Linked DNA regions of Struthio camelus. The protein of the gene in region 4 purifies or fractionates together with the protein of the main gene of each other region. This does not show direct contact. Links are inferred from orthologs where the notes say so. Each region holds a gene or a part of one and is shown on either strand. Other genes may lie near its edges.

What was found.
Region 1: the proteins of RBM8A (region 4) and UPF2 purify together in Homo sapiens (co-immunoprecipitation; 6 studies listed by BioGRID and IntAct, with this or other methods). This does not show direct contact. The link is inferred for Struthio camelus from reciprocal best matches to the Homo sapiens genes RBM8A and UPF2.
Region 2: the proteins of RBM8A (region 4) and UPF3A purify together in Homo sapiens (co-immunoprecipitation; 4 studies listed by BioGRID and IntAct, with this or other methods). This does not show direct contact. The link is inferred for Struthio camelus from reciprocal best matches to the Homo sapiens genes RBM8A and UPF3A.
Region 3: the proteins of RBM8A (region 4) and PYM1 purify together in Homo sapiens (co-immunoprecipitation; 11 studies listed by BioGRID and IntAct, counting the BioPlex papers as one, with this or other methods). This does not show direct contact. The link is inferred for Struthio camelus from reciprocal best matches to the Homo sapiens genes RBM8A and PYM1.

Annotation. Positions count from the first base shown.
Region 1 is NC_090942.1:7,366,218-7,373,755, forward strand, and holds the start of UPF2 (regulator of nonsense transcripts 2), read right to left. Parts: upstream 3,018-7,538; 5' UTR 2,918-3,017; intron 2,632-2,917; exon of another isoform or gene 2,503-2,631; intron 2,486-2,502; exon of another isoform or gene 2,337-2,485; intron 1-2,336. UniProt on the Homo sapiens protein: Involved in nonsense-mediated decay (NMD) of mRNAs containing premature stop codons by associating with the nuclear exon junction complex (EJC).
Region 2 is NC_090942.1:156,043,442-156,051,379, forward strand, and holds the start of UPF3A (regulator of nonsense transcripts 3A), read right to left. Parts: upstream 3,009-7,938; 5' UTR 2,980-3,008; coding exon 2,731-2,979; intron 448-2,730; coding exon 341-447; intron 1-340. UniProt on the Homo sapiens protein: Involved in nonsense-mediated decay (NMD) of mRNAs containing premature stop codons by associating with the nuclear exon junction complex (EJC) and serving as link between the EJC core and NMD machinery.
Region 3 is NC_090969.1:707,142-714,478, reverse strand, and holds the start of PYM1 (partner of Y14 and mago), read right to left. Parts: upstream 3,015-7,337; 5' UTR 2,890-3,014; coding exon 2,859-2,889; intron 1,850-2,858; coding exon 1,756-1,849; intron 515-1,755; coding exon 1-514. Other genes in the region: DGKA (diacylglycerol kinase alpha), read left to right, coding at 5,116-5,180. UniProt on the Homo sapiens protein: Key regulator of the exon junction complex (EJC), a multiprotein complex that associates immediately upstream of the exon-exon junction on mRNAs and serves as a positional landmark for the intron exon structure of genes and directs post-transcriptional processes in the cytoplasm such as mRNA export, nonsense-mediated mRNA decay (NMD) or translation.
Region 4 is NC_090971.1:3,081,934-3,088,964, reverse strand, and holds the start of RBM8A (RNA-binding protein 8A), read left to right. Parts: upstream 1-4,015; 5' UTR 4,016-4,395; coding exon 4,396-4,627; intron 4,628-5,131; coding exon 5,132-5,191; intron 5,192-5,754; coding exon 5,755-5,832; intron 5,833-6,234; coding exon 6,235-6,371; intron 6,372-6,607; coding exon 6,608-6,744; intron 6,745-7,031.

The DNA.
Region 1 (7,538 bases), on a different chromosome or scaffold from region 4:
TGCAGCTAAGTTCAAAAGGAAAACGCTGGAAAAATGGCTGTTTGATTAAAGAAGTGCTGGAAAAACATGTTACAATTCCACTGCTCTGGCTTTTATCTTTGTTCCTCACCTGTTGGTCATGGAGCAACTTAATTATAATTTGGGGAAAAAAACAAACAGCTACATGTGCATTTTTTAGCATCATGGTCACTTACTAAAAGCAGTACTCCTCCTCGTATCACTTACATAAACTCACAATTCTGTTTTAAAGGGATGTTTGAGTCTTGCTTTTATACAAGCGAGAGAGAGAAGATGCAATAAAGAAAAGGAATGGAGCATAATCTGGTGCAGTGTGATTTCGATCCCAAAGCAATATCATCTTTCCCTCTCCCCCGAACATTCATGCCAAAGAAACCTATTTTCTAATGGATTTCTGTCATATATCACAGAACAAATATGCGTTGCAACACTCTGCGCCGCCCGCTGTGTATAGCTCTTGTCTCCCCAAACCTTCCCACTGTTCTTCCAACTCTCTTTATATCTACCAACTACTGACTGCAGGAAGCAGCCAGCGTGGTGGCTGTCTCCAAGCTATACACACACTGATTCACGGGTCAGTGCGCAAGTGCCAACTAACAGCAAAGACAGAACAGAATTGTTCATTGAACGTATGCTGCAGCCTTTCCCTCAGTGTGCATGTTATTTTAAGTCTTTTTTGTTCTTCTCAGCCATTGATTATCACAAGATCTGTAGAAAGGTTATACCTTTGAAACTTTCAGCTGTCTAATCCAGCTGAAACTGGCCAAAAGGTTCAAGAGTTATAAGATACAGAGGAAAAAAAGAAATGGACAGGCAGCAGGCTCACCTAAGTCCCATTTTCACAGGAAACCTATGAAAGAAGATAGGCTGAAGATACACAGTTGGGTCCAAATTAAGGGAATGTTAAGGAATTATTGGAAAAAAAAAAAAGGAACTTCTATGTAGTACCTAATGCTTATGTGAGCATACTGGTGAAAAGGAAAGGAGGAGAAATGAACGTCAGAAGCCAACAGATAGGAGGAACTGGTGCTTCACAGCTCAAAATTAGACCAGAGAAGACAAAAGACATGAGTTCAATGGGCTCTTGGACCACTTGCCATTGATATCTGTAGTGACATTTAGAAGTTCTGAACCTCTATCATCTTAGTTCAATCACCTATAGATGCTTTTTTTTTTTTTTTTTAAGTGAAAACTATGTTTATTTTTCCTGCCTGAACTCAAGGTTAATTAAGAGCTATTTATTGTTTTGGAATTTCTATTCCGCTTTTCACACCGATCTCACTCTACGAAAAATTGATGGCATTAGGCAACACTTAACAGAAAACATCAATGTAAGGGCTTATTCTCAAGGCTTCCAAAGGTTTGTACAAAGTATTAAAGATCAGCATCACTAATGTAACCACAAAGCATAAACACTGCCACCTTGCCTTGAACTGCTTAATTCTCTCACATCTACAAGAAGTTTATCACAGAGAGACTGCAACTGCATGAATCGGAATTGCAATCCTTATCAAAACACGCATGGGAGGAGAAATACCATTGTACAAACATCAGATACGAGGAGTGCCTGCTTTACTAAAGTTTCTCCCATTATTTTTGTACTGCTATTGGAAGTTAATTTAACCACGTAAGTATTCCTTTATGCAGCTACTCTATTAGAAAACAAGTTAGAGAGACAAACAACGCATGCAAGGGGTCCCACTTTCAAGTGTCGGGTGATGCACTTTCTAAAGGGGACGAGATTTGTCTGTTTACACTTGGAGGTTTTTCAGCGTGTTAAAAGTTTCCAGAATTGAAAAGCAATTCCGGTTTCTTCTAAAGACAAGGAAGATAAGAAAAAGATCACGGCCAACGAGAAGAAAATAAACCCAGCCGTAAGTTTCTGAAAGATGAGAGGCAGGACAGGAGAGGAAGTGGCAGCGAAGAAGCCCCCCTGCCCGCTGGCGGGGCAGCAGGCCTGCCCACCCCGCTGGGCAGTTTTACTTTCGATTCCAGGCGGCTCGGAGCCGATATTTTGCTGTCAGATCCGCGGCCGGACCCCTCTCACCGGGGAACGGAGGCCCAAAGACGAGCCGCTCTCAGCGGCCCGCGCCGCCCCCCGGGCGCCGCCGGCGCGCACCAGCTCCTCCACCACCGAGCCACCTCCGCGGCCCTGCCCTGCCCTGCCCGCTCCCGCGGCAGCCTGCGGAAACCGGCCTCGGGCCGCCTCACGGCCCCCCCCGCCGAGGAAGCCGCTACCCCGCGCCGCCTCACGGCCCCCGCCCCCCTCCCCGCGCCGCGGACCCTCTCGCCCAGGGCCGCTGGGCGCCCTGCGCTACCTCCGCCCGGGGCAAACATCGGCGCGGCCTGCCGGTGAGCGCCCGCCGCTCCTCCTCCTCCTCCGCCGCCGCCGCCCCCTCCCCTGGCGCACGAGGACCCCGCGCTCTTCTCGCCTCGCCCCGCCGCGCCGCCCACCCGCCCACAAGGAAGCGCCGCGCCGCCTACCCGCGCCGCCGCCGCCCCCGCCCCGGCCCGCTAGGCCAGCGGCCGTTCCCAGCGGCCGGCGTCAGGCAGCGCGGCGGGCAGCCCCGGGCGGGGTCCTGCAGGCGGGCGGCGGGCAGCCCCGCTCGCGTTACCGGGGCGGCGGAGGCGGAAGTGGCCGAGGGCGGGGCGGGGCCGGCTGGCCGACGGCCCTTCCGCAGCGGCGCCGCCGTGACGTCACCGCCGTGACGTCGCTTTCGGCAGTGCGGGAGGCGGTGCGTTGCGTCACGGCCGCCGTCGCGTCGGGGGCTTCCCTCATCGTTAAGCTCTGACAGCTGCCGTCACCCCCCCCCTTTTTTTTAAACTATTAACACATACGCATTTAAAATTATAAGCATGAGCTCTCAGCGAAAAATCGGCCTCGGGGTCAAAACGGTACCTTGCCCTTAGGATAACGCTGTTTTTAACGCTGTTTTAAAACGATCCTCGCGTGCCTGTTAATGCGGGTTTCTCCCTGAGCCTTGGTCGTTTCGTTGGTATCTCTCGTAAGGAGATGGCGGAGTCCTGGGGAAATGATCCTGCCTGCCTAGGGCACCCGAGCGCGGCGCTTTTACCAGAGCTCTTCCGCCGATACCGCGGTGGAAAAACAGCAATAACGGTGGCATCCTACTCAGTCAAATCACACGGTCAGACGATGTTACGGATGTTCTCTGTTGCGTTTTACGACGTAATACGTATTCCTTCCTACTGTATTTTACGGCATAACACATATCACTTTCTACTGGATGATTAACAGTCGTAGAATAGTGTCTTTGCGAGTACTCGAAGCTCCAAGACGCTCTCAGAACAGCTCTACGTTAATCAGTCAAACACAAACTTCAGACTGGCATATGTTAAGGGCTAACATATAACAATGCTTTTGTTCACAGTTTTGTTCTGATGCCTCCTGGATGATGCACTGCAGGGAGGGGAACCATAAGCAAAAAATTAAGTATACATCAAAGCGTTGAAACGTATGACTGATCTGACCTGATATTAAAATGAGTCAACAAAAATAACTGTCTCATTTCTGTATTCTACTATCCTATTATGAGTTATCAGAACGGACTGAAAAATTCTGGTATCTCCGCTGTGTCTTCCTGCTGTATCAATATTACTGTCTGGATAATATGTATGAAAGCGTTTACAATTGTTAATTTAGTTGCACAGAAACTCCAAATTTACTTGAAAGGCTCGTGATCTGCGAGTCCGGCCATGCTATTGGCTATTATCCCACCCCAAATGAGGCCAAGCTAGAAAATTCCACTCTGCACAATCCAGAATGTAAGAACATGAATCTGGTGTATAGTTCACAGTTACAATCCTGATTCTTATTTCAAGCACGGAGGTTTCTGATATGAGCCTCTGCTTCCTTACGGCAGTGTTTACACCCCTTTAGACTTAGGAGGAGCACACAAAAATATCTGACCGTGACATCAGTCCCAGGCCTGGATGTGCATAATGAAGTTATTCAGCTGTTAAAGCCACCTTTTATTCAAAAGCAAGAGTCAGCCCAAATTTAAGGCTACGTTTAATGTGTAATGATGCAGAGTTTTAGGTATACTCTGCCAATCGTTACAGCACCAGATAGTTTTTTTTTTTCCTTCCAGAAAAGAGCTCTCTTTCCTGTTGTTCCTCCTTCTTCCTTCATTACTCATTTTTGCAGACATTTCTAAAAATGTATTTCTGGAAAAGTTTATTAATGAATATTTGAAAGGATGAAGTCATGCTTGTTATTTATGTAGATCAATCAAGTGTCTTTGCTTCTCAAAGATTTTATGTACTTTCCAAATCATGTTGATTTACCAGGTTGATTGAACTGACTTATGAGAACGGAGAAGAAATCTGTGCTAAACAGAAAGACAACAACAACAAAAAACAGCAACAAAAAAGAGAAATTAAATGGGAAAGATATCCACATGTTATTGCTGGTGCTTCATTTTCCAAATACACCAGGCATATAACTTGTCAACGAATGCCTTTGAGTGAGCTGTTTTGTTCAAGTTCGAGAAGGCAGGCTCAGTGTTATCTTAGGTTTAAATTTCAGTTTCAACGGCGTGACACCAAAGCAATATTGGCTTATTTTCTTGTGAAGAATGACATTGCTGCCTTGTCTAACATGAATAAAATGCACTGTCACTAAAATTTTGAAAGCAAACAATAGCTCCTTCTTTATTCTTTCCAGAGACTATCCCACATTCCCCACCAACCACAGCTATGCTGGAACTGTCTCTTGTAAAGACGGTGCAGGTAAACCGGGCTCAATTTTTGTCTGATAGGACAAAAAGCTTTTCCTTATGAAGTACCTGTTTCATAGGTGCCTACTTACAAGCTGATCCAGTCTTCCTGCTAATCAAAAAGAAAACTAAGTAGAGGTCATTGCTTGAGTCTCAGATATAAAGCACCTTTTTCAATTGTTTAATTCTTGAAGCTCTTCTTGCAATTTTTTCAATGTTTCCTGAATTACTGGTACAAAACATGGACACAATATTTAGCAAGCAATCACATTAACGTCAAACTAGAATCCGTATGTGTACTCAATATTGCCTTGTAGTCAAATCCAGAAAACGATCCTTTTGCCAAATGAGCTGATATTCACATAACTTTTTCAGACCCATCTGTTTTATTCCCGTGACTTTTAGAGATTATATACAGTTACTGCTTCCTGAGAAGGAGCTACATTTTAGTGCACATTCTTTTTTTCCAGGTATACAAGCTTATGTCTGATTCCGTTAAAATAAATCTCATTTGCTTATGTATGAGGTCAGTATGAGATTCAGATCCAAGACAGCCTCTCTTCATCACTTACCTCCAGCTGACAGACTTTGTCAGGACTTACTTTGTGGGAAGGCCTTTCAGGTTGACATGACTACTTGAGTGCCAGCGACCACAACTCCTTTCGAACCCCTTTAGACATACCCCCAGTGGATAATGATTTTCTGTTTAAAATATTACAAGTTTAGATCTGCTGGGTAGACAGTTTTATACTACTTAATGCAGACAGCCTTGTTTTTGAACCATTCCTAGTTTCTTTAGCCAGGGCATCAGGTAGTATTGAATCAGTCCCATACAGCAGTCCCACCAGTCCCTCGGACAGCCTCCCTGGTCTCTGCCAGCACAGCCAGGCCAGGAGAGTCCCCTCGTGGAGCCGAGGCACATGAATACAGAAGCGGTGTTTCTGCTGGCATAAGTACCACTTTCTCACGCTCAGACATGAACCAAAGCCAATGAAGCCACTCTCCTATCGACCTAGATGTAATCACAGCAGGAGTTTGGCCATGTGTAGTTGTATCCCAGGCAAGATGATTACGCTGGCAAAAGTCTGCAAAGTACTACTCATTACTTTAAATCTTTATCTACCGAGCTTTGCCTCTCAGAAACAAAAAGGTTGATTTGATGAGATATTTATTCCATAAATTCATGCTTAGGGTTGATTAAAGCAATAAGTAAACCTGTATATACAAACATTCAATTACTTCCCTGGGATTGACAATCTATTACTAAACCACCTCATTTAGTTCTTTCTAAACATTAGGTAGCATTAGTGCTCTTATTCGGAAGGTGTTTCGTGTTTCAAACCTATTCATATCAGTGTTAATTGAGAAGAGAAAGACTCAGTTAGCTCTCTATCTGCTTTACAGCAAAAACATTGGTATCAGCTAGTCGACAAATATTTGCTTGAGAACGGTGGAAAAGTATTTCATCATGTGTTCTGTCTGCAATATTTGTCTTTTTCCCAAGTGCAGTACAGGAATATTTGATACAAACCTTTTCTGCCTCTTTATCGTCAACTTTGCTGTATCATGCGATGGAGCAACATTATTTTCAAGGTTCCTTTGTTCTCAGTATACATTAAAAAATAATACCTACAGCCACATTTCTACTGTGCTTTACTCGGCTGGCCACATTTCAGCTAACCTTCTATAGCAGTATCCGTTTGCCTTCTTTGCAGCATTAAAGGTCATTCGCTTCTTTTTCCTCCCAAATTGGCTTTTATAGATCTGCATATAAACCCAACCCCATACAGGCCTCAAGGAATACAAACGGCCCATCTCCCAGAACTGTAAATATCATAAAATCCCTGGTCAGCTATGGCACCGTTAAGTAATTCAGTTGCAAAATTCAGTTCCACCTGTCTCAAAACCATATAATCACTGTTTGATTTGAAGAAGAAAAATAGGCTTTTCGAGTTCCCTGTTGTGAAGGCAACCTACAAAGTAACTCTCGCCTGCAGCACCCCTGCCTCCCAGGTCTGCATTCATACAAAGTCTAGATGAAGCTTTTAGATTCTGTTACAACTTGGATTTTCTATCAGTCCCTCTCATCCTGCGCTAAAGTACAGCCCAGAACAGGAACAAGTTTTAGCTCAGAGGAGTCAGAATGAATGAAAAAATAAAAAAGGGGAAGGAAATTACTAGAAGCTGTAAAATAGAACTTAGGCTGCTGGTTTGAGTTTCACGTCCAACCTAACTCCTGGATTTTGTGGTGCGTTTTCCCGAGGCGCCGAGGTGAACACGTCTTCTTCCCAGTTTAAGCACAGCCCAGCGTATGACGGGCGCTTCGGGTGGGTCGAGATTAAACGGTGAGAGATCACGTAGCTGGTTGACCCTGTCGCGGCCTTTTCACAGGGAAGGTCAGGAGAGGAGAACATACTTCTGAAAGGATGAGAGAAACAGCCTGAGCATATACAAAGGAGAAAAGGCGCCTGCAGTACCCGAAGACCTAACACACAATTAATCTGGTCTTTTATTCCTCATTTTGCACTTCACACCGCCTTTCCGCGCTCTCAAGAAGAGCAGCGCTACGGTTAACCCCAAGACCTCGACCACCCTCCCAACCTGCTGCCTCACAAGATCCACCCATGGAAACACCTGCATGTTAGGCCCCGTAACAGGGCCGACACAACGACGCACGGAAAAGTTTCAAGCTTCCCAGCCCTCTCCCACCACCCGGGGTTTCAGACCCCAGGGCAACGCCGGGGAGACGGGGAAGGAAGGCGCGACGGAGCGCGGCGCGGCCTT
Region 2 (7,938 bases), on a different chromosome or scaffold from region 4:
AAGTGGCTCAGAAGAAATGTGTTCCATTTCAATAAAGGCTAAAAGAAACATGAGAATTTTGAACAAAATTACGCCCTATTCACAGAACAACAATTTTCTGTTTTAAAATCAGCAGTGTAAAAGGAAAGGGCAGGAATGCCCTTGTCTCTACATATGCATCTCTGTTCTCAAAAACATTTTGAATAACTACTAACACCAACAAAAAGTAAGGGCTCCAGGGACAAAATATGCAACTTGGTACATGACTATATCCAAAATACTTTAATTGGGTTTTAAGTACCTGAAAACTCGTACAAACATTTTCTTTTCTACTTAGTACTGACCAACAGCATATCCTCACCTGGGATCAGCAGTGCAAAACTCAAAATAATCATGGGCAGGTAGAGGATGTAGCTGTTCCTCTAGTTGCTCCTTAGTTAGACAAGGAGGAAGCCGGCGAATAACTACCTGCGCATATAAAACAAAATGGACAAATATCTTTGATCTAAATACTGTGGGAAGAGACTAAATATCACGTACTATTATTCTTTAAAATTGGGAGTTTAAATTGGAACACTAGCCTCCTAGTGACTTACTTTCTTATACTTGCTGGCAGAAGGAATAATTGACCTATCTCACTTTCTGCTACATAAAACGTATAGAACAACAGACTAACACCGTAAAATTGCAGCATAAGTGAAACATTCTGATGAAGAGCTTAAAAGTCACTGTAATTTGGCTGAGAACACAAAATATTAACAAATGGGAAAAAAAATAAATATTGACCACACAAAATACTTGCATTCTCTCTTTACAAAATGATTTTGTTTAAACTGACTTTTAAGTCTTTTATTACAAAAGCATTTTATGTACATCGTCCAAAGTCTTCACTCCAGAATAAAGTGTCTGAGACTGCATGAAAACTCTCATGACAGTATAGAAAAGAGTGAAATGGTCATCAAGATTCAGATAACGTACTTCTATTTCTCAGTAATATCTGAACTTGACTTAACTTTAAGTCATGGTGACCTTCAGTGCTTTCCTTTCCCCATTTAGAAAAAGGGAATAAAACAAATCTCACAGTACTCTATATAAGTATTCTCTGAAAGATGCTCAAATAAAACCATGGAGAGAGAAGTGCTCTTGTTCTTTTAAGACCTGCTCTGCCACTATATTAGTCAATCTAAATTTTTAAAGAACGAAAGATGAAAAGACAGGCAAATTTGCAGCACTCTTGCTGAGGTCCTCAAAATACTTAAGAAAGTGAACACTCATTTTGCTGATGATGAAACAAAGACGATGTTTAAATGCTGTATTTCCTTGGAATTAGCCTCAGTGTTTAGAATAGAAGCTATGGGCCTTTCTGGGCCATGCTCTTCATTACAAATTTCCTCTGATCCTTGGACATCGCCCAACGCTTCTTAGTAAGTCTTCCCATGTTCCCTGCCCTTGCCTTCCTCTGCACTTCTCCATCTCACCTTACCTGCAAATACTTCTGTCTGCTCACCTGCCCCAGGGGTTGTTCCAGTTGGCTCAATCATGCCCATCCCCCTTTGCCCCTCTATTCCCGTCCCCAGACCCCTTCCCAAACAACCCTTACTCCCGCACTTACTCCTCAGCCCCTCTATGTACCTCTTCTGTGCCTCTCCTGATGCCCCCTGCTCAGTGATCAATCCCAAGGCACGCCACTCCCTGCACACCTATCCCCCAGGCTCACCTCCCCCCAGCTCCTAGGCACACTCCCAAGCCCCAGCCTTGCCCCCAGCCACACCCCCAGGCATGCCCCCCCAGCTTGTCTCCAGGCCCCAGGTTGGCCTCCCAGGCATACCCTCAGCCCCAGATTCACCCCCCGACACATCCCCAGCCCCACAGCACATCCCCCAGGCATATCCCCAGCCCCACAGCACATCCCCCAGGCATATCCCCAGCCCCCAGACTTCTCTCCCAGCCCCACAGCACAACCCCCCAGGCACATCCCCAGCCTCACAGCACATCCCCCAGCCCCAGAGCACAACTCCCCAGCTACATTCCTAGCCTCAAGGCTCACCCCAAGCCCCACAGCACAACCCCCCAGCCACATCCCCAGGCACACCCCAAGCCCCATAGCACACCCCCCCGGCACATCCCCAGCCCCCAGGCTCACCCCAAGCCCCATAGCACACCCCCCCGGCACATCCCCAGCCCCCAGGCTCGCTCCCAGCCCCATAGCACACCCCCCCCCCGTCACAACCCCAGCCCCCAGGCTCGCTCCCAGCCCCATAGCACACCCCCCTCCGTCACATCCCCAGCCCCCAGGCTCGCTCCCAGCCCCATAGCACACCCCCCTCCGGCACATCCCCAGCCCCCAGGCTGGCTCCCAGCCCCATAGCACACCCCCCTCCGGCACATCCCCAGCCTTGCCCCCAAGGCACACCCTCAGGCCCATAGCACACCCCCCGGGCGTATCCCCAGGCCCCCAGGCACACGCTCAGCCCCACAGCACACCCTCCCGGCACATCCCCAGCCCCCAGGCTCGCTCTCAGCCCCATAGCACACCCGCCCCGTCACATCCCCAGCCCCCAGGTTTGCCCCCAAGGCACGCCCCCAGCCCCATAGCACACCCCCCGGGCATATCCCCAGGCCCCCAGGCACACTCTCAGCCCCGAGACTCACCCTCAGGCACGCCCCCAGCCCCCCGGCTCAGCCCTAGGCTCACCCCCAGGCACAGCACAGCCCCCGGGCTCGCCCCGCGGCCCCCGCGCGGCCCCTCACTTTGCTCAGCGCCGTTTTTTTCTCCTCTCGCTGTTTACCCGGCGCCGGGTGAAGAGGCGGCGGCGGTGGCGGGGGAAGCGGCGGCGGCCCCGGCGGGGGAGGAGGCGTTGGCGGAGCCTCCGGCTCGCGGCGCGGCGACTCTCGTCTCAGCGGGACCTCCATGGGCCACTTCTCCCGGCCACAGCCGCCGCCGCCGCCGCCGCCGCCACCTCGAACTGGTCCCGGCCCAGCCTCCCGCTCGGACCTCATGGAACAACCGCCGCCGCCGCAGCCAGGCGCAAAGCTCGCGAGAACTGGCCGCTCGCCGGGTGGAATCTCGCGAGACTTCACTGAGGGGGCGGAGCGGGCTGCCCCAGAACCCCGCCCGAGCACCTCAACGGTCACCGCTGCGGGGGGGGGGGGGGGGGGGCGGGGACGGGCAGCGCCATCTCCGTCCTCATCCTCTCCATCCCCGTCCTCGTCCGCATCCTCACCCTCATCGTCATCCCCCTCCTCCTTGGCATGGGTACTTTCAGGAGCCCCCACACAAGTCCCACTTATGCCTGTGGGAAGGAGATGAGAAAGAAACTTGTCCCCTTCCCTGGCCGGGGCGCGAACCTCGCCGCCCTGGCTGCTGAGACTTGGCTGCCGGCCTCTGTCTGCCCCGGCCTCGCCTCTCCGTTGCGCAGCGGGATGGCGTACGTGCAATCCACCTCGGGGCTGGGGCCTGCTGAGGCTCAGGACACAGGGCTGGAAATCCAGGCAGGTCCTAGGGATGAAACGAGGCCGTTAGGTCAGGTCACGAGTCCTGTGCCCAAGGAGAGTTTCTGTCAATTTAGGGAAGCGCTGGCTACAGTCAGGCAACATGTCATTAGCACCCACCTCTCAGGCCATGCGGCAGGCTCCGGAGTCGTTCTGGTTGACATTTCAGCGCCCTTCTGACGAGCTCCCAGGATTTCACCTAGTGCTTTAGCTCCCACAGACAGTCACATCAGCATCATTCCCAATACATTTTCTCAAGCATTGGTGGATATTTGGCATTTGATTTATCCTATCAAATAATAAGAAGACATCAAATAAGAACATAAAAATGTTTATACTGATTCAGACAATGCCACCATCCTATCTCTGCCCATGGCAAAGTCACTGGGGAAGTCACCAATAATGAGTAGAATAAGGATAAGAACAAGTAGAATATATATTAATTTATCTTCAGACTAATCTTTCACCTGCAAGGTGTCCCTGAACTGAGACCACAAAGTGAAATAGATCTTCCATGTAGCTAGTCTAGAAGTAGTGACCCATCCATCAGATCAAGGATTACTCAGTCCTGGATTGCAATAGTGCAATTTTATGATTTCTAGTTCTAAAAAGTTTCTGGAAACTCCTGGATGATTTGGGATGTCCTAGACTACTTCTCCTAGGCTTAGTGACAGAGACACAGAAACTGAAGAATGGCTGTGGGTCATACATAGGTCATAGGCATACCACTAGACTCCTCTAAAGCAACAGAAAACAGACAGAATAAGCAAAAATGCCTACAATTTATGCAGAATACACAGGGTCAACACTGATCTTCCGATGCCGATGCTGCATTGTCAGTCCTCAAATAGATGTCCACAACATGACAACAACAAATAGTAGCTGATTTGATGTGGAATAACTCAGTACTGAAGCTGCTGAAAACAGAATCATAATTCCATCTTAACCTCCTTCTGTGTCTACTACCAGTGGCTATAGTTCATCGTCATAATTGGAAATCAGGTGACGGCTTTTCCTGGAGGACATTTTCTGATGTTTGCTGAAGTCTGATTTGTCAACACTGGTCTGTCAGGCTTCATGAATAAGAAACCTGACCACACTATCCCTAGGATGGGATATTCCAATCATCCCATTAGCCTCACCTTTGATCCTAAGAGGCAATTTTCAGCTCTAAAGATAAAAGCAGGTGGGATTGGCCAAGCAAACTCTAATGTGTTATTCCTCTTCAAATCTTTTAGCCTATAGTAGCTGGGAAGAGCATGGGAGTCAATTAGGACCATCCACAGAAATCTCTTGTGGGTTTTCAAGACCTAGTCTGACAAGCTTGCAGGCAACAGCCAGGTCTCCCCCCACCCCCACCTCAAACTGGGACAAAACTGATCCTTGCAGGAGAGAGATTAGGTTATGAAACAGAGAGAGGATGTCTCTTGTGGGGACATGTTGACAGTCTCCTCAACCTGACCACGACCTGGACCTTGTACCCACTTGCCAAAGCTAACTAAGGCAATGACCAAAAGCAAGAGTCAAAAGAACCTGAGGGCAAGTGAGGCCAGAAATAGTAATCAAAGACCTCATGAGGACAAGGAAAATACCCAGTTTGACTAGAGGCGGGTTGAAAATCAGAATAACAGAATAACCCAGAAAGACAATAAGCGCTATCTAGTACGTAGAGTCCAGGCAAGGGCAGGACAGGTGCTGGGAAGTGCAGAACACTAGAGCATAGCTGGAGCTGCAGGTACGGAAATGACAGTTGGATAAAACAAGAGCAGATCAACATACTGAACAGAAGATAGATGAGGGGATGCCCTCATGTGTGCACAAAAGACATGCATCATCAGTCATCTCGCAAGCTCTAACCTAACTGTAGTTGCCTAACAGGCTGGGAGGCAGGACAAGTCATACCAATAATTCCTCTGATGTTGTCCAGGAAAAATCATTGACAATCTAGGACACTTTGCATACATCTATTTCTAGGTAACTTTTAATGCCAACAAATGCAAGCCAGCAACAGCCAGCCAAAATACTTCAGCAGAAATCTGCGACAGCACAGTGTAATAATACGTTGTCTTTCCAGCAATACCCATTTAAGGTATTTCACCTATTCCTTCCCACTCCTACCACTCTTCCCCACTGAAAATGCTAAAACAGTTGTTTGCTATCTTTGAACCTGAGAACTGAGAAGAAAAGATTTTTAAATCAAATCAAGTTCCCTGATTTGATTCATAACATAACCTCACAAACACTTGAATTACCACAGCTGAGGTAGTGGCACAGGGAAAAGTAGATTCTTATGGGCAGGGCAGGAATACTATAAAGCAGTGTTGTCATCAGAGCCAATGTATCATCAAATCATGACTGGAGAGTACAAGAAAAAATATGAAATTTTACCAGTGTTTTAAATTATTTTGTCAATGGTAATAAAAACACCATGGGAACAAGTAAACAACATGAGTCCTGCACCCATGCCTGACATAAGACAAAAGGCCTCATTTGCTAGAAGACTTTTTAGGCAACTTGGGTATGGAAATAGCTTGTCACGATAACCTAGAAAACTAGATTTACCCAAATTAGTGTTAAAAAAGAGAGAATCTTCTAGAGAAAAAAAACAGTTCAGTTCTCTGAGAAACGGTTGGTGATAGTCTTCAGGCTGCTCTGTATGCAGCAACAAGCCTTTGCCATCTCTTTATCCACAACGTGATCTTGGTTACAAGCATTCAGTATACGTGAGCCAGAAGATAACAACAAACTACTGAAAGATCCTGTAAAGGATGAGACTTAATACAATGGCTGTTGAGGCACACTTTCAGAGTTTTAGCTAATCTTCCCAAGAAAAACTTCCAGTTTACCTTGCATATGAGAAGCCATCTGAACTACACGTAAACTATCAGATACCAAAAGAAAGCTCTTCATGAGCTTTTTATCTAGCTACATTGAAGGAATCAGACTGGACACCGGCCAGAAAACACAGACACTTCCTGAATGAGTCTCTTCCCCCACACCCTGTGCAGGTATATCTTTTCACTTTGCCTCCTGGGGAGTGTAGGACATATCCCTTCTTTTTCAGAGAATCCTGCAATTTCGGATGAAGTGTTTTTGAACCAGAAAGTAAACCATTTTCATTCTCCTTACTTGTTAATGTCTAAAGAAATATGAAGTTAGTATCGAATTCTGTGCTGGACTCAAATACTTCAATCCATAACACAGAACTGTTACTCTAGCATGTTAAACTCCCTCTGGGGCGTCACAGACCAATTCACGGTACCACTGAGACAGAACCAGGCAGTGCTAGTGCTATGTTGGCACAGGAAAACAAGGGGATCTTATGGGACCAGATAGATTTCATTCGAGTATCAGTTCTGAGAGTTCGTGGAATTTTGGCCAAAACACAAACTCTTTCCCTAAATCTTCCTCATCCAGTAGCCTTGAGTTTTAAAATGCAAGTGTATAGAGAACGTATAGTCATGTTCCATAACGCAGGGACATGAGGGAAGCAGCCACCATCCTGGACTCAAATGATGTATGCAGCCTATATTGATGCAAAGAGGTCTCCCTGACCCAGATGAGGATTCATAAGACACCAGGAAAAGAGTTGAAGAACCAAGATGTAACCAGGCACAGCCAACAGTCTAGCTGAGTAGAGCAGCAGCAGCCAGCAAGTAAAGTAAAGAAAATTAGTATTTGTGTCCTCACTAGTGACTCATCTCAGCTAATGGGGGTGCTAGGATAAACAAAGGAACACAGACCTTCCCACCTCACTGCTTCGTCCATGAAAGGGTCTCTAGCAACAGCATAGTCCTTAGGATACAGAATCTGACTATTGAAAACTGAGTGAGTCATAAGACAGATGTAATTGGACAATAAGAGGCAGCTTATATTCCAGTTCATGCAGCGCCATATCTATCAAAAAAAAAAAAAAAAAAACCACACACACCCAGAAGAGATCACAAGATCACAGTAACAACCAGTGATGCAATATTCAATTATTAACAAAATTTGAAGTAAGTTCAACATTGCCTGTTTAAAGTCTGCACTAAGAGAACTGTTAGTGAAGAAAAATGCGCTGCTGGAGGGAGAAAGAATGACAGCAAAAATTCAATATAAGTACTTGGATTCATCATTCATCTTCCATCTCTTATTCATGTAAAGCACCAAAAGAAAAAAAAAAAGTGAAAAGTGTATAGCAAATATTTAATGAGTTGCACCACTAGTCATCAGTCTGTGTTAGTTTCTTTTATAGCTTGCTCCCATAAAGTGGATGAAAATTATTACAAGATAACAGAATATGTAAATATTGTTTTAAGAGTATCATCAAAAATAAATCTTTAAATCTTAATACAAGTGTACAAGTTACATTTTAGACCTATTACTTGATTTTAATGACTAAAACATGAATTAGCCATTTTCATTTTTGATGAAAAATCTCTGGGCACAGAAAACGTGCTGGTTCTCAAGATCTGAAGTACTTCA
Region 3 (7,337 bases), on a different chromosome or scaffold from region 4:
TTACAAGTCCAGCTCCAGGTCCTGCAGTTCCTCCTCCAAGGCTTTCCTCCGCCCCAGCTTCTCCAGCTGCTCTTTCGTCGGCTGCTTGATCTCCCCGGAGTCGAGCCGCTGCTGCAGCTCCTCCACCTGCCGCAGCTTCTTCTTCAGGTTCTTGATCTTCTTGGTTTTCTCCGAGGCGGAGGCTTCCCCGTCGGCGGGGCCCTTGGCGCCGCAGGCCGGCTGCGGCGCGGCCGCCTGACTGTCCCCCGGGGGGCCCTTGTCCCCGCCGCTGCCTCCCGACAGGGAGGTCTTCTCCAGCGACTGGATCAGTTCATCTGTCTCCCTCTCCCCTTTCTCCTGCTGCTGCTTCCTCTTCTCCTTGCGTTTCAAGTTCCTTTTAGCTGCCTTGGACAGTCCCGTCTCTCCGCTCTCCGCCTTGCCAGGCTGCTTGCTGGGCTGAGCATTGGCCTCCAGGCTCAGCCCGGGCGGCAGGTCAGGTTTGCTTTTGAAAAACTTCACATACTTATTCTCGTACCTGCACAGAACGAGAGCCCATGAAGACGCGTCTCTCCCACACCCCTGCGGCGTCCCCCCGCCGAGCCCCGGGCAGCGCTGCGGGCGGCGGGCCAGGTCTGGCGCGGCGCTGAGGGCCCCGAGGTCAAACTCCCACGTGCTCAGCACCTCTGGCCAAACCTCGGGCACAGAGCGACCCCGATCTACAACTCGCCCCGGGGGATCTCGGGGCTCTGCCCCTTCGCTGCCCAGCGAGCCTCGGCCGAGCGGACCCTTTCAGAGAGGCCGTCACCGCCCCCGAGCGCCTCTCTCCTGCCAACGCCTCTCTGCTCAGGGCCGTGCTCACGTCCAGCCCCGCGCAGCCGCCCCAGACAACGACCGACGTGGAAGCTGATACGTACCGTCAGCTTACCGCTTATGGGATAAGGGTGAGGGGGTCAGGATTGGTCGGGCACCTGGAAAGAGACTGAGACCTCGAGACGTAACCCGGCACGCGCGCGTGGCCTCAGGAATCGCCGGAGACGAGGTCCCGGGGGGCAGGAGACGCCTGGCCTCGGGCTGCCGCGTGCCCAGAGCTGTCAGCGCCTCGTCCGCGAGGAGCAAAGACCCATCTGGGAGCCAACCCTGCCGGCGCGGGAGACCCGGGGGGGCCCGGCCTCATTTCTGGGCCCATCAGCAGAGCAGGGAAACGAGCAGCAGATGCAGGGAGCAAACTGGGAGGCTCTGCTGGGCGCAGGGAAAGGGCTGGGGGCCGTTAAGCGCTGGACGGCCTGGGACGTCAGCCGCGGAGCCCTGCAGGACGCCAGGGCGTCCCCGCCGCCGGACACCCGATGGTGACGCAAGGAACTGCCCGGCCGGGCGCGACCCGAACAGCAAGAGCGACCGGCGGAGGGGGGAAAGACCAACGGACGTCTGACGGACAGCGCCGCTTCCAGCGGCGGCCGGCGAGCGTTGCTGTGGTAACGGAGCACGAAGCGCCTCTCCGCGTCTATCCTTCCTCGACACCGGCGGTCCCGGACTGACCACCACCAAAAATACCTGCCCCGGGCGGCCAAAAGCAAGGTCGTTGCTGCGTTTCAAACCCGGCCAGCAGCTCCTCCTCCTTCTAACAGCGCTCAGACACCCGGCCGGGCCCCCGCGGAGACCCCGGCTCCCTCCCGAGCCCGGAGACGACCGCTGCCGTCGGCGGCGCAGGAGGGAACGCGGCCTGGAGACGGGGCGCTGCCCCCAGGGACGCCCCCTGCCCGCCCCGGCCCCACTTACACCGGCACCTCCTCCTGCGGCACGTATCCCTCCTTCACCCGCCGCTGCTTCCGCCAGGTGCCGTCGGGGCGCTGCGTGGAGGCGATGTACTTCCCTGCGAGGTGAAGGCGCCGTCGGCGAGCGGCCCCCGCCGTACTCCCCCCCCCCCCCCACAGCCCAGAGGTGGTCACGGCACAGCCGGCCCCACAGCCCCTCCTGCCCCACACAGAGCCAGGGGGCAGGGAGGGGAAAGGGGCCCAGGCCCTTGGATACTGGGGGGGGGGGGGGGGACCTGCCCCACAGGGGCTGAGGGGAGGGGACGCAGACGGCACCCCATAGATATCGGGGTGGTGGGGAGAAGATGGGCCAAGCTCTACAGAGTCCAGCTTAGTGTCCGGCTTGAAAGGGGCCTGCCCCACAGAGAGCAGGGTTGGGGGGAATACTGACAGGGCCCCATAGAGACTAGGGTGATGGGGAGAAGATAGGCCCAGCCCTAGAGACGCTGGGGGCCTGGGGGCAGACTGGGTCCCATAGACACCCGGCAGTGGGGTCTGCCCCACAGGGACCAAGGTGTGGGGGAGCCAGCCCCATAGAGAGTGGGGAGAGGGGGGAGCCTGCCCCATAGGGAGAGGGGGGAGGGGGGAGCCCAGCCCCATAGGGAGTGGGGGCGAGGGGGGGAGCCCGCCCCATAGGGAGTGAGGAAGGGGGGAGCCCGCCCCATAGGGAGAGGGGGGAGGGGGGAGCCCAGCCCCATAGGGAGAGGGGGGAGGGGGGAGCCCAGCCCCATAGGGAGAGGGGGGAGCCCAGCCCCATAGGGAGAAGGGGCAAGGGGGGGAGCCTGCCCCATAGGGAACAGGGGGGGAGCCCAGCCCCACAGAGACGCGGGGAGCGAGGCCCAGCCCCACAGAGACGGGGACAGACCGGGCCCCGCGGACCCTGGAGGAGCCGGTGGGGAGGGGGGCAGGGCCTGCCCCACAGCGCCGGGGGGCGCTGCCCCATAGGGAGCGGGGAGGGGAGGGGGCGGGGCTCAGCCCCACAGCGCCGGCGGGGGGGGGGGAGGGCGGGACCGGCTCCCTCCGCCGCGGCGGGGCCGGGGCAGGGGGCGGCGGCGGCTCCGCACTCACCGGTCTCGTCAGTCACATAGGGAGTCGCCATCTTCCGAGCGCGACCCACTTCCGCCCGCCTGGCCCCGCCCCCGGAAGTGGCGACGGCGCGGAGGGAGGGGCCGAAGCCCAGGGGCGCCGGAGCGGGCGGCCATTTTGTTTTTAAAGGGGCCGCGCCCAGTTGGGCCGGACTCGCTGGGCGGGGGGGTTCCCAGCATGCACCGGGGCTCCCACCATGCACTGCGCCCGGGGCGGGGGGGGGGCGCAGGGGCGCAGTCGCCATGGCGACGCGGGGCCCGGCCCGGTGCTTCCGTGCGGCGCCCGGTGCCGGGGAAAGGGGGGGGGACGGGCCGGACCCGCCCGCATCCGCCGCCCCCGCCCGCAACAGCGGCGCCGGGGTGGGGGGGTGGCAGGAGACGACGGGGCCCCAGCCCCCCCCCCCCCCCCCCGCGGCCGCCCGTCGGGCCCGGCCTCAGCCCTCGCCCCGGGCGTGAGCGGGCAAGGCCGGGGGTGGGCGGGGGGGCAGGTCTGAGCGTGCCAGAGCGGCTGCCAGTGTGCCAGGCAAGGGGTGAGCGTGCCAGAGTGGCTGTGAGCGTGCAAGGCAAGGGGTGAGCGTGCCAGGCAAGGCGTGAGCGTGCAAGGCAAGGTGTGAGCGTGCCAGGCAGGGCCTGAGCGTACCAGAGCGGCTGTGAGCGTGCCAGGCAAGGGGTGAGCGTGCCAGAGTGGCTGTGAGTGTGCCAGGCAAGGGGTGAGCGTGCCAGGCAAGGCGTGAGCGTGCCAGGCAAGGTGTGAGCGTGCCAGAGCGGCTGTGAGCGTGCCAGGCAAGGTGTGAGCGTGCCAGAGTGGCTGTGAGCGTGCAAGGCAAGACATGAGTGTGCAAGGCAAGGTGTGAGCGTGCCAGGCAGGGCCTGAGCGTGCCAGGTAAGGTGTGAGCGTACCAGAATGGCTGTGAGCGTGCAAGGCAAGACATGAGTGTGCAAGGCAAGGTGTGAGCGTGCCAGGCTGGGCCAGAGCGTGCCAGAGCGGTTGTGAGCATGCCAGGTAAGGTGTGAGCGTACCAGAGCGGCTGTGAGCATGCAAGGCAAGACATGAGTGTGCAAGGCAAGGTGTGAGCGTGCCAGGCAGGGCCTGAGCGTGCCAGAGCGGCTGTGAGCGTGCAAGGCAAGGTGTGAGCGTACCAGAATGGCTGTGAGTGTGCCAGGCAAGATGTGAGTGTGCCAGGCAAGATGTGAGTGTGCCAGAGTGGCTGTGAGCGTGCAAGGCAAGGTGTGAGCGTACCAGAGTGGCTGTGAGCGTGCAAGGCAAGACGTGAGCATGCCAGGCAAGATGTGAGCGTGCCAGGCTGGGCCAGAGCATGCCAGAGCGGCTGTGAGTGTGCAAGGCAAGGTGTGAGCGTACCAGAGTGGCTGTGAGCGTGCAAGGCAAGGCGTGAGTGTGCCAGAGTGACTGTGAGTGTGCCAGGCAAGGTGTGAGCGTGCCGGGCGGGGCATGAGCATGCCAAAGTGGCTGTGAGTGTGCAAGGCAAGGCATGAGCGCATGAGGCAGGGCACAAGCATCCCAAAGCAAGTGTGAGTGTGCAAGGCAAGGCGTGAGCCTGCGAGGCAGGGCATGAGAGTGCAGGAGTGGCTGCGAGCATGCAATGCATGAGTGTGCCAGGCGAGGTGTGAGTGTGCCAGAGTGGCTGCAAGTGTGCAAGGCAAGGCGTGAGCCTGCGAGGCAGGGCATGAGCGTGCCAGAGCAGCTGTGAGTGTGCAAGGCAAGGCATGAGCACGTCAGGCAGGGCATGAGTGTGCCAGAGCAACTGCAAGGGTGCAAGGCAAGGCGTGAGCCTGTGAGGAAGGGCACGAGTGTGCAAGAGCAGCTGCGAGTGTGCCAGGCAAGGCATGAGTGTGCCAGGTAGGGCACGAGCATGCCAGAGCTGAAGTGAGCGTGCAAGGCAAGTTGTGAGCCTGCGAGGCAGGGCATGAGCGTGCCAGAGTGACTGCGAGCGTGCAAGGCAAGGCGTGAGCGTGCCAGGCAGGACAAGCGTGCAAGGGCAGGCATCAGTGTGCAAAGCAAGGCACGAGCGTGCCAGAGCGGCTGCGAGCGTGCCGGGGCGGCCGCAGCGCGCGCCGGCTGGCAGGGCAGGAGCGCGGCCGCAGGTGAGCGCGCGCGGGCTTGTGCAGGCGAGCGTGCAAGCGCCTAAGTGTGCAAGCGGGTGAGGAAGCACGCTAGCCCCCCCGCCCCGGTACCCCGGGCCGCACGTGTGCCCGGTGCCGCCCCCGCCTGCCGGGCCGTGATGTCAGAGGGCCGGGCCGGGCCGCCGGGAGCGCGCGGACGCCGCGCCGAGCCGAGCCGAGGCAGGTAGGCGGCGGGAGCGGGGGTCCGGGATGCGCGCAGGTTGGCGCCGCGGAGAGCCCGCCGGGGCCGTGCCCACCCGGGCCGGCGCGCCCCGGCTTCCTCGGTCGCTCCCCCTCCCCTCCTCCAGGAAGGGGAAGGAAGCGGCGCTGGCGGCGCCACGACGGGGCGGCCGGGGCCGGGCGGCCGGTGCCCCCGGGGGCCGCGGCGCTCGGCGCTGCACGTCCGGCCGCCCCCCGTCTCGCCCCGCCGGGGCGAGCGGATGCTCTGCCGGCTCCGCCGTCCCCGCTCGGCGCCGTCGCGTCCCGTCCCGGGGCGACCGCGGGACCTCGGTGCGCTGGAGCGGCCCGAAGAGGAGGAAACAACAAGCCCGTGTGCGATGACTCAAAGGAACAAAGGGTTCGGCGGGGCCTCTGCCAGCGAGAGGAAGGCAGAGGAGCGCTGCTCCGCGCCCGCCGCCCGCCCGGCCGCGGCACCCTGCCTGCTCGGGGCTCCGGGACCGCCCCGGCCGCTCGTCGTCTCCCACCGGCTCTTCCCGGAGCCGAGACCCCGCGGGCAGAGCATCCTCCATCCCGGCATCCTCGCTGCGGGCCCGGCGGCAGGGCCGGGGACGGCGCCCGTCGCCCCAGCGGGCAGCCCCCGGCGCTCGCGGGCTTTCGCCGAAGGAGAGGAAGCGAGATGCTCCCCCGGGGAAACAGCTGCAAACCGCTGCGCCGAGGTGGAGCCGGAGCGGGCGGCGGAGCCGGGCGCTGACGTTAACGGGACCGCGGCGCGTGGGCGTCGATGCCCGGCCGGTGGCGGCTGGACCCGGCCCGCTGGGTGGGCTGAGCCGGCCCGTCCCCGGGGGGGGGGGGGGGCTGGGGACGCGCCGGGCCGTGCCGCGAGCCGCAGGCGGGACCCCGGAGCCGCCCGGCGGAGGCGGTGAGTCAGGGCCGCCCGAGGGAACCCAGGTGTCCTGGGACGTCCCTGGGCCTCTGCCCCCGCGTCCCCGCCGCCGGGAGCCGCCCCGGCCTTTCTCACCCCTCCCCGGTGGGGGGGACCCAGGTGTCCTGCCCCCCCCCCGGCAGCCGAGGGACGATGACATCGGGGAGGGGGACCCCAGTGCTGCTCGCAGCCCCGGGGAAGATGGAGCGGCGCAACGGGGGGGTCCCGGCTCGGCCGGTCTGTGCCCCGAAGGGTTAAACCCTCCCGGGATGGAGCCCTTCGGCCTCTGGCTGCAAATATTTACTAAATAAGGGAAGCGTTTGCGGGCGGCGGGCCCCGTTGGGGGGGTCCCGAGGTGCCGGGCGCCCGGGCAATGCGCCCCGGCAGCGGCAGCCCTGTCCCCGGGGCCACCCCGCGGCGCACCGGCCACCTGCGCTCCCTCCCCGCCTGGGGCTCGTGGTCGCGTGTCTCCTTCCCCCCCCCCCGCCCCGGTGCCTCAGTTTCCCTGCTGGGAAGGGGAGGGCCAGGACGGAGGCGTCGGGTCCCCGGCCGGCGCGCGGCCGAGCAGGGAGCCGCAGGCGGCCGCCGCCGGGCACGGGACGTCCCGCGCGCCCAGGGTCGGCCACCACCGGGGCACCCCGGGGTGGCTGCGCCGCCCCTCGCGGGCCAGCGGTCCCGGGCCACGTCCGCAGGCCGCTCGCCGGCTGGCGCGCCGCACCCCGCCGGGGTCAAAGCTCGGCCTGCGCCGGGCGGCTCAGCCCCGGGGCCGGGCCGCGCAAGTGTGGGGCCGGCCGGCGTCCGTGGGGCAGCTACGCCTCGGGGGGGGGCGAGGGGACGCCGGCGGGCCGCGCGGGAGCTGGAGGGGCGCGAGCTGCTTCCGCGCGCCTCCGGGCACCCGCGCGTGTCGGCCTGTCCCGCGCGCCCGGCGTCGCTGCCTTCGCGGCGCGGACCCCGCGCGGGGCTGGGGGCGGCCGCCGGCACGTGCCCCGGCCCGCCGCCTCGCCGTCCCCGAGCGTCGCGGCTGGGTGGAGCGCCCGGCGCCTGGAGCCCGCCGTCGCCATGAACAAATAATAGCGCCGGAGGGCGGGGAAGGGCCCGCGGGGCCGCCGGGGCTGCGCCTCCGCGGGGGGAACCGAGGCCGGGGCGGCGGGGCGCCGCTCTCGCCCCCCCTGCGCCCTGCCGGCGCGCGCCGAGCATCCCGAGCGCGGCCGGGCGCCAAGTCCCACCCTCCTCCCCGGC
Region 4 (7,031 bases):
ATTGGTCTAGCAGTTAATTAGTCTGCACCAGACAAATTCTCCTGCTATGCTCTTTTTCAGTCCTCTTTGGGTTCTTACAGTGTTTCACCCAGTCTAGGAGGATGGAGATGCTAAAGGGCTGTCCCAAGCGCTAGCAGTTGGTGGTGGTATGAAATGGCCGGTTTACCCAGCTAGAAATCAAGCCTTGGAGTTGTTTGGCTTCCCCAGCTAACCCAGGGAGATGAGGGTTTTTGAAAGTCGTGCAAGAAATAAGAGATGGACACGCTGTTCTCTCCAGGGTAACTTCCAAACCGAATGTCAGACTTGGCCTTTTCGAGGAAGATTTTAAGAGCCTTGCCAGAGTTTCAGACTTAGCGAGCAATAACAGGGGGGAGCTGTGCAGCCTCTCTCCCTGAAGAGCCTTGTATATACAAGTCTTTGTTAACCAGAACTGTATTTAATCCTTTGAACCAGAACACAGGCTCTACCCAGCCCCAGCAGCAAAAGCGCAAATGGGGGGGCTTGGCCTCAACTTTGCATTGCTTCTACCAGCCAGAGTAAAGGGGTCTTACCCTTGTGCCAAGAGGGACTGTGCTTAATTTACAGCACGCAGCGCTCTCCGCAGCCTAGCTCCCAAGAAATAGTTGGCAGGGGCAATTCTTAGGATTACTGGTGGATCAGAGAGCTGCTGCTTAGCAGAGGGCTGAGGAGCTCTGCAGGTGTCTTCAGTAGATCACACAGAGCACACCTTAATGTTACCCACTGCGAACTTGGTGTGGGAGGAAGGGAATCACTAGATTGTATAAAATGAAGGTGTGGGCTATAGGTTTGGCACCTCTGGCCTGTAGCGTTTATATAGCGTAGCCTCACACAGCAGAATGGGAGAGAAAGCGAGTGTAAGAGCTGTGCTTCTCTTGGAGCTGGAGGCTCCCTGCTTTGGAGCTTGCTCCGTTCTTTTCAGTAGTGGTGTTGGAACAAAACACTGCTGAGTTGAGAACTTCTATATGCACTATTTTTTTAAATGAATAGTTCCCTGCTCTTTGTATACATATCAGTACTAAATCTGTATGATGTTTAGATTAAAAATACTCTTCCTGACACTTGTGTTCCTGTAGCTCAAATTCACAGTCCGAGAAAGTAGTGATTTGTTCAAGGTAATTCTTGTATCGCTTCCTACTTTTCTAATATATAGCCCAGAAGAGTCAGCAATGTCTCAGTGGGACTATAAATTGAAGACAGACTTCTTTCTTCAACACAGTATTCAGCTTTGACCTTTCTCTGGTCCTTCCCCCCTTATACTCCCCCCGCCCCATGACTATACTTTGGGTAGAGGTGCAAAGCCTTTGGGAATCTGACGGGTAGCTTTTGCTATTGCCATAGATGACCACCCCTCAACCCTCTCCTTTCTCTGAAGCAGCCTCTTACTGTGAACGTAGAGGCACGTGGATATTCAAGCAATAGTCTTGTTTTGAAATGAAGATCAAGAAAAGTGCGTTATCTGTAGGCATTCTAGTTTTGTATTCTTGTCCTAACAAGCCTATTTTGTTTTTATATATTTTTTATATGCAGCCTTTTTACACAACAGTATTAATGTTTAATGCGTTTATAAATGTGATTGTAAATGGTGTGGAGTTTTTTTGTTTGGGTTTTTTTTGTTTGTTTGTTTGTTTTACAGGTTGGTAATATCTGGACCTTGTATTTGGATTTAATCACCCGCTCTAGAAATAGTGTGGAGTCTAACATCTTCCTATTAGCACTTCCACACCTGTGTATAGTGTTACAGTACGTCATGTGAAATGGTGATTTATCTAACAGCCTGCTCTTGCAAATATGGAAACTCTTAAGAAACTTCACTTTTTGAGCAGATGGTGTAAGCAGCATCGGCACCCAACCATACATCTCCAGGCTTTCAAGTTGCTTGGACCTGCATCAGTGTTTTCCTCTGCATTACAGACCGGGGTTTGCCATCTTATCCTAGTTACTTCTCGCCTCTCTAGCAGCATGAGATGGAAAACGTGACCCAATAGAAAAGCCCCCTGGCATGAAGAAGTTGTGAGACATCCAGTTCTTGGCTAATTTGGAATCCTTATGGCCCACTTGGATTTTGCAAGTTGAAGAAGGTCATTTAGAGCTGTAAAGATCAGTGGGCCAGAGCTGGTGCAGTCTTGCCGTAAGAATCCTGGTGCTCGTTGAGGAAACATCGTACAGCCCCTTCTCCCTGACTACAGCTGGGTGCAGCAGGGAGTTTGGATCTAGGATTGCTTTCAGGCACCCTGTTTGAATTAATACTGCCTTCTCCTTTGCAGTACAAGGCCCTGTCAGTTAGAAATTCCTTTACTTAAACGTACGTAGCAGCACCTTAACAATCAAACTCCCCCTGGAGACTTCCTTGGGGAGGAGGAGTTCTTGCCGAGCAGCGTCTGTGCCCTACGTGTTAGGACTCTTGGTGTAGCAGAAGTTGCACGAGCTGCTGTTTGCAGTGCTTACGAGTGTTTTGCATGTAGGGATCTTAATGGTTTTAGCAAAGCTTGTCTCCGTAACTCTCCTCTGTCCTGCAGCGCTGAACTGTACACAAGCTGTTTCAGATGCCTTACTACTGCCAGCAGCCGTTCTTAAACGAATCTAGGAGGATTATGTTGTTTCCACTGTCAAGGCCCAAGTCTGCAAAATGGGACGTCCTGGCAGAAGGGAAGGTACAATGAAAACCTGATACACCAGTACTTTTGTTTTGGCAAAACCGAGGCTGGTTTTTAGTCCCCTGATCTACTTGCAGGGTGATAACGCCCCTGCCCTAGGGACGAGGAAAGCTTTCTGGGCTTTCTTACTTCAGCTACTTGTCCCATCTTTCCTGCGGAAGCCATCGAGCTTGTTTTAAGTAGTTGTGGCTGCAGAGCCTGCCTCGTACTGAACGAAACCAGCTAAGCCTCTGTCATCTGAACGTACCCATACACGAAGCCTGCATAGTTGGTGGGTGTCACTGCCTTCCCCCTTCTTTTGGGGGTTAGAACAACACTAAGCCTAGGCAGGCGTCTGGGCAGTTTTATATTAAATAGCAGCAAGTGTATAAAACTGTTTTCTTTTGTTCCAATTACAACTTTATACTCTCGAAACGTTGTTTTCCCAAATCCCGAGGGAGGGGGCAGGGGGACTGGCCTTCAATCTAACCCGAGGCAGCAGCAGCAGGATTAACATCCTGGCTTTTTCAGTGTCCAAAATCTTGTTGTCTTCCTTCTTCATGCTATAGGGTTAAATCCAAAGCTAAAATGATAAATCACCTTTCACGTGCCGTCCCTGCCTTTTTCCATGTATGTCATAACTTTCAGTACATCATTGCATTTTGTATGTATAATTTTATACAATAAAGCTATAGATTTTTGGGGTAGCTGTGGTGGTTTCTCTCCCGTTTTGAAAGGCAGAAACGGCAAATCCTGCCACTGACTTGTCATTTGCATCTTTCCTAGGCGGCAGTTCGTACACCGGGACAAACAAGCGTTTGCAGTTTCCACCCCAGAAGCGCACGGGCGACGTGCTGTTTCTCGCTAAAGCGGTGTTTGTCCTCGTTTAATTCCAGCTTTTTCTTCTGCTTGTGAAAGTGGTTTATGGTCTGTTACTCTGGGGCGGAAGCCAGGCAGGCCTGGCCTTAGCAGCTGGCGACAGAAGCGGCCTCCGCTGTTGGAAGCTGATTTTGCTCTGCACAAGAGGTGCTTCCCCGGCCAGCCTTGCCTTAGCTTTCCCCGCTGGAGGGAGCTGGTGGCTTGGGACAATTTAAGGCTCTTAAGGCTCTTTTTTTTTTTTTTTTAAACCTCATCCTTTCCACCCATGGGGTCCCCTCCATGTCCCACCAGCTCTGCCCTTCTGCTGCCTTTCCAGGGTTGTAGGAACTGCACAGCAAAGGGCACGTTTGCCCCCAGAGCAGGAGCTCTTCTTTGTCCTCTTTTTCTTTCTTTTCTGCAGTTTGGGCGCTAGTCGGTCTCGGGAGGGCTGAGCTCGGGCCGCAGCCCTTCCCCGGTACCTGCGGGGATAGCCTCTCCTCCTCGCAAAGGTCGGCCAAGCTTCGTCTGCCGGAGCCAGGTCCCCCGGGGGCTCGAAAGCCGCCGGCAGGAGGACGGCCAGAGGCGCGGATGTGCGCGCTGCGTGCTGGTGGAAGCCCCGTTTCCCCTGGGAAACCAGGCCAAAAAAATAACTTTGCTTCACGTTGTACTGAGCAGCGAGGCGGTGGGGAGAAGCAGGCGGCCCCCCGCCTCCCTGAAATGTTACCTGCCCCTGCAAAGAACCGTGAACGGTTTAAGCAGGTGGGTGCGGGGTCAGCGTCGGAGCTCGCCCCCGCCACCCCCGGGCCTTGCCCCGGGGCAAGCGGCCTCCAGCGTGGGCCTGCTGGGGGGGGGGCACGACAACCCCCCCCCCTCCCTTCCCGACATGGCGTCCACGGCCGGGCAAGAAACGCCGACCTCACCAAGATGGCGCCGCGGGCGCTTCCGCCGCGCGTCCTCCCTAACATGGCGGCGCCCGGCAGGGCTGGGTAGTGCTTCCGCCCCGCTTCCCGGCGTGCAGCGCGGCAGTGGCGGCGGGGAGAGCGGCAAGATGGCGGACGTGCTGGACCTACATGAGGCGGGCGGCGAGGACTTCGCCATGGACGAGGATGGCGACGGTGAGGGCAGGGCGGTCCCTACCTGCCTGGTGCCACCGGCCGGTCCGGCCGGCTCCCGGGCCGCTGTTTCCTTCCCTCGGGCCTGCTCAGGGGGCCCTGTAACGGCGGGGCCCTGTCCCCTGTCCGGTCCTGGTTCAGGGCCAGGTTCCCCCGTGGGCTCCCCCCGCCCCGCGGCCAGTCCTAGGCCCCCTCCCTGCGGGCCCTGCTCTCAGTCGGGTCCCCCCGCACCGGCCCCGGTTCGGGTCCCGTTCCCCCATGTCGGTGCCCAGCCCGGACTCGGGGACCAGCCTGTCGCAGGGCCCCAGATCGGGTCCTGTCCCGCCTCACCGATGCCCAGCCCGGACCTGGGGACCAGCGCAGCCCGGGGCCCCGTTTGGGTCCCGTCCCCTGTCTCAGTGCCCAGCCCGGAGCTCAGAACCAGCCTGGCCCCGGGTCCCCCCTCCCCGCCCCGGTTCCGACCCGATCGCGGGTGCCTTTCCTCACTCCCGCCCCTCTCCTTCACAGAAAGCATCCACAAGCTGAAGGAGAAGGCCAAGAAGAGGAAAGGCCGAGGCTTCGGCTCAGGTGAGCGGCGGCGGTACGGCTCTACCCTCCTTCCCGCCCTCCGGCGGGCAGCGCCTGCCCGCGGGACCCTGGCGTTGGCCGCTGCTTTCCAGCGTTCTCGGCCCCTTCCCCTCTCAGGCCTCGGTTTCCCGATTTCAGCTAAACGCTCACCCTGGAATCGCTCGGCCGAGGTCCCTGGCAGGCAGATCCCTCCTGCTGGGTGCACTGGATCAGTGGTTTGTGTGTCGTGACGTTTCAGAGCCCGTTTAGGGCGGTTTGGAGAGTGGGATCAGAGCAGGAGCTTTGTACAGGAATGTAGCGTCTGCTGGGAGCAGGATCGCTTTGCCAAAGCACAACCCAAATCTGGCTGGCCTTGCTGTTCCCTCCCGCAGAAGGGAGAGGACTTCTCAGGGCTGCGTGCGCAGGCCGGTGGCCTTGTCCTGCCCGTACAGAGGAGCTGGCTTCAAACCTGGCTGTTTCAGCGTTCTCGGGGAGTCCTTAAAGGTTGTCTGTGTCCTACTGCACTCCTGAGCGATGGCAGCGGTCACCCACCTCTCTTTCCTCCCCTTCTGTTGCGTGTCCAGAGGAAGGCTCGAGGGCCAGGGTGCGCGAGGATTACGACAGCGTGGAACAAGATGGGGATGAGCCAGGCCCACAGCGCTGTGAGTACCTGCAGGAGGCACCCGTCCCAGCCCTGACTCCGGGCGCTTTAGAGGAGGGAGACGATGTGTTGTTTTCGGGGAGATGGTGGGGAAACGTGGGGCCGTTACTTGGCTGCGTATCAGGATTCAGACCTTGCTGGGGCTGAGCCTTTCCCTGCCTCTCCGGCCTCTGTCTTGGGCTAAGCCAAGAGGTTGCTCTCTGGGACGCCAGCTCCCTTTTCCACCCGTGTGTGGCTCATTCTGTGTTGTGCTTAGCCACAACGCGCCCAGGGATTTCCAGCCACTCCAGGGGCTGGCTCTCGTGGGAGGCCCCTTCCTGAGGTGTCTCACGTTCGCACCGCAGAGGTGGGAGAGCACCCTGCGTTCGGTGTAACGATTGCCGCTTTTCCCGGTGCGCTGCAGCGGTCGAGGGCTGGATTCTGTTTGTCACGGGGGTTCACGAGGAGGCCACTGAAGAGGACATTCACGACAAGTTTGCGGAGTACGGCGAGATAAAAAACATCCACCTGAACCTCGACAGACGGACGGGCTACCTGAAGGTAGGAGGGGATGCGCAGGTTGGGCTGGCCTTGAACCATCTCAGCCGCTTCAGCGGCCGCACATAGGGACGCGAACACAATTTCCTTTTCCCCAGCGCTACTGTCGGGTGCCGCAATGCTGCCTGAACAGCAAGACAAGCTCAGGGAGGGGTTTCTCAAACGTCCAGCCTCTCGCTGGGCTCCCTGCTTCCCCTCTGCCCGGGATCTCACTTACTTTTGCTCCCTCCCACCCTTAGGGATATACTCTTGTTGAGTACGAAACCTATAAAGAGGCTCAGGCAGCCATGGAGGGGCTGAACGGCCAGGAGCTAATGGGGCAGCCCATCAGCGTGGATTGGTGTTTTGTAAGAGGACCCCCAAAAGGAAAGAGAAGGTAAGAGGGTCTGTGCTTTTTGACCGTGTTAAGCCAGAATGAGGTTTTCTCTGGATAGCCGCATGGGAGGAAGGGTTCAGCTGCAGCTCCTTTGCCCTGCTGAGGCAGACAAGGGAGAGCAGGGATGAGGCTGAGCTGCTGGTGGAAATGTCACAATGTTCACGAGCCCTGGCCGGGGCTGGAGACCTGTGGATCCGGGGAAGGTGGGAGGTGAATGCCCCAGAGCGTTTGGTAGCACAAACGTTAGTTCTGGCGGAGCTGGCTGACTTTGCTGTGAAAAACGCTGC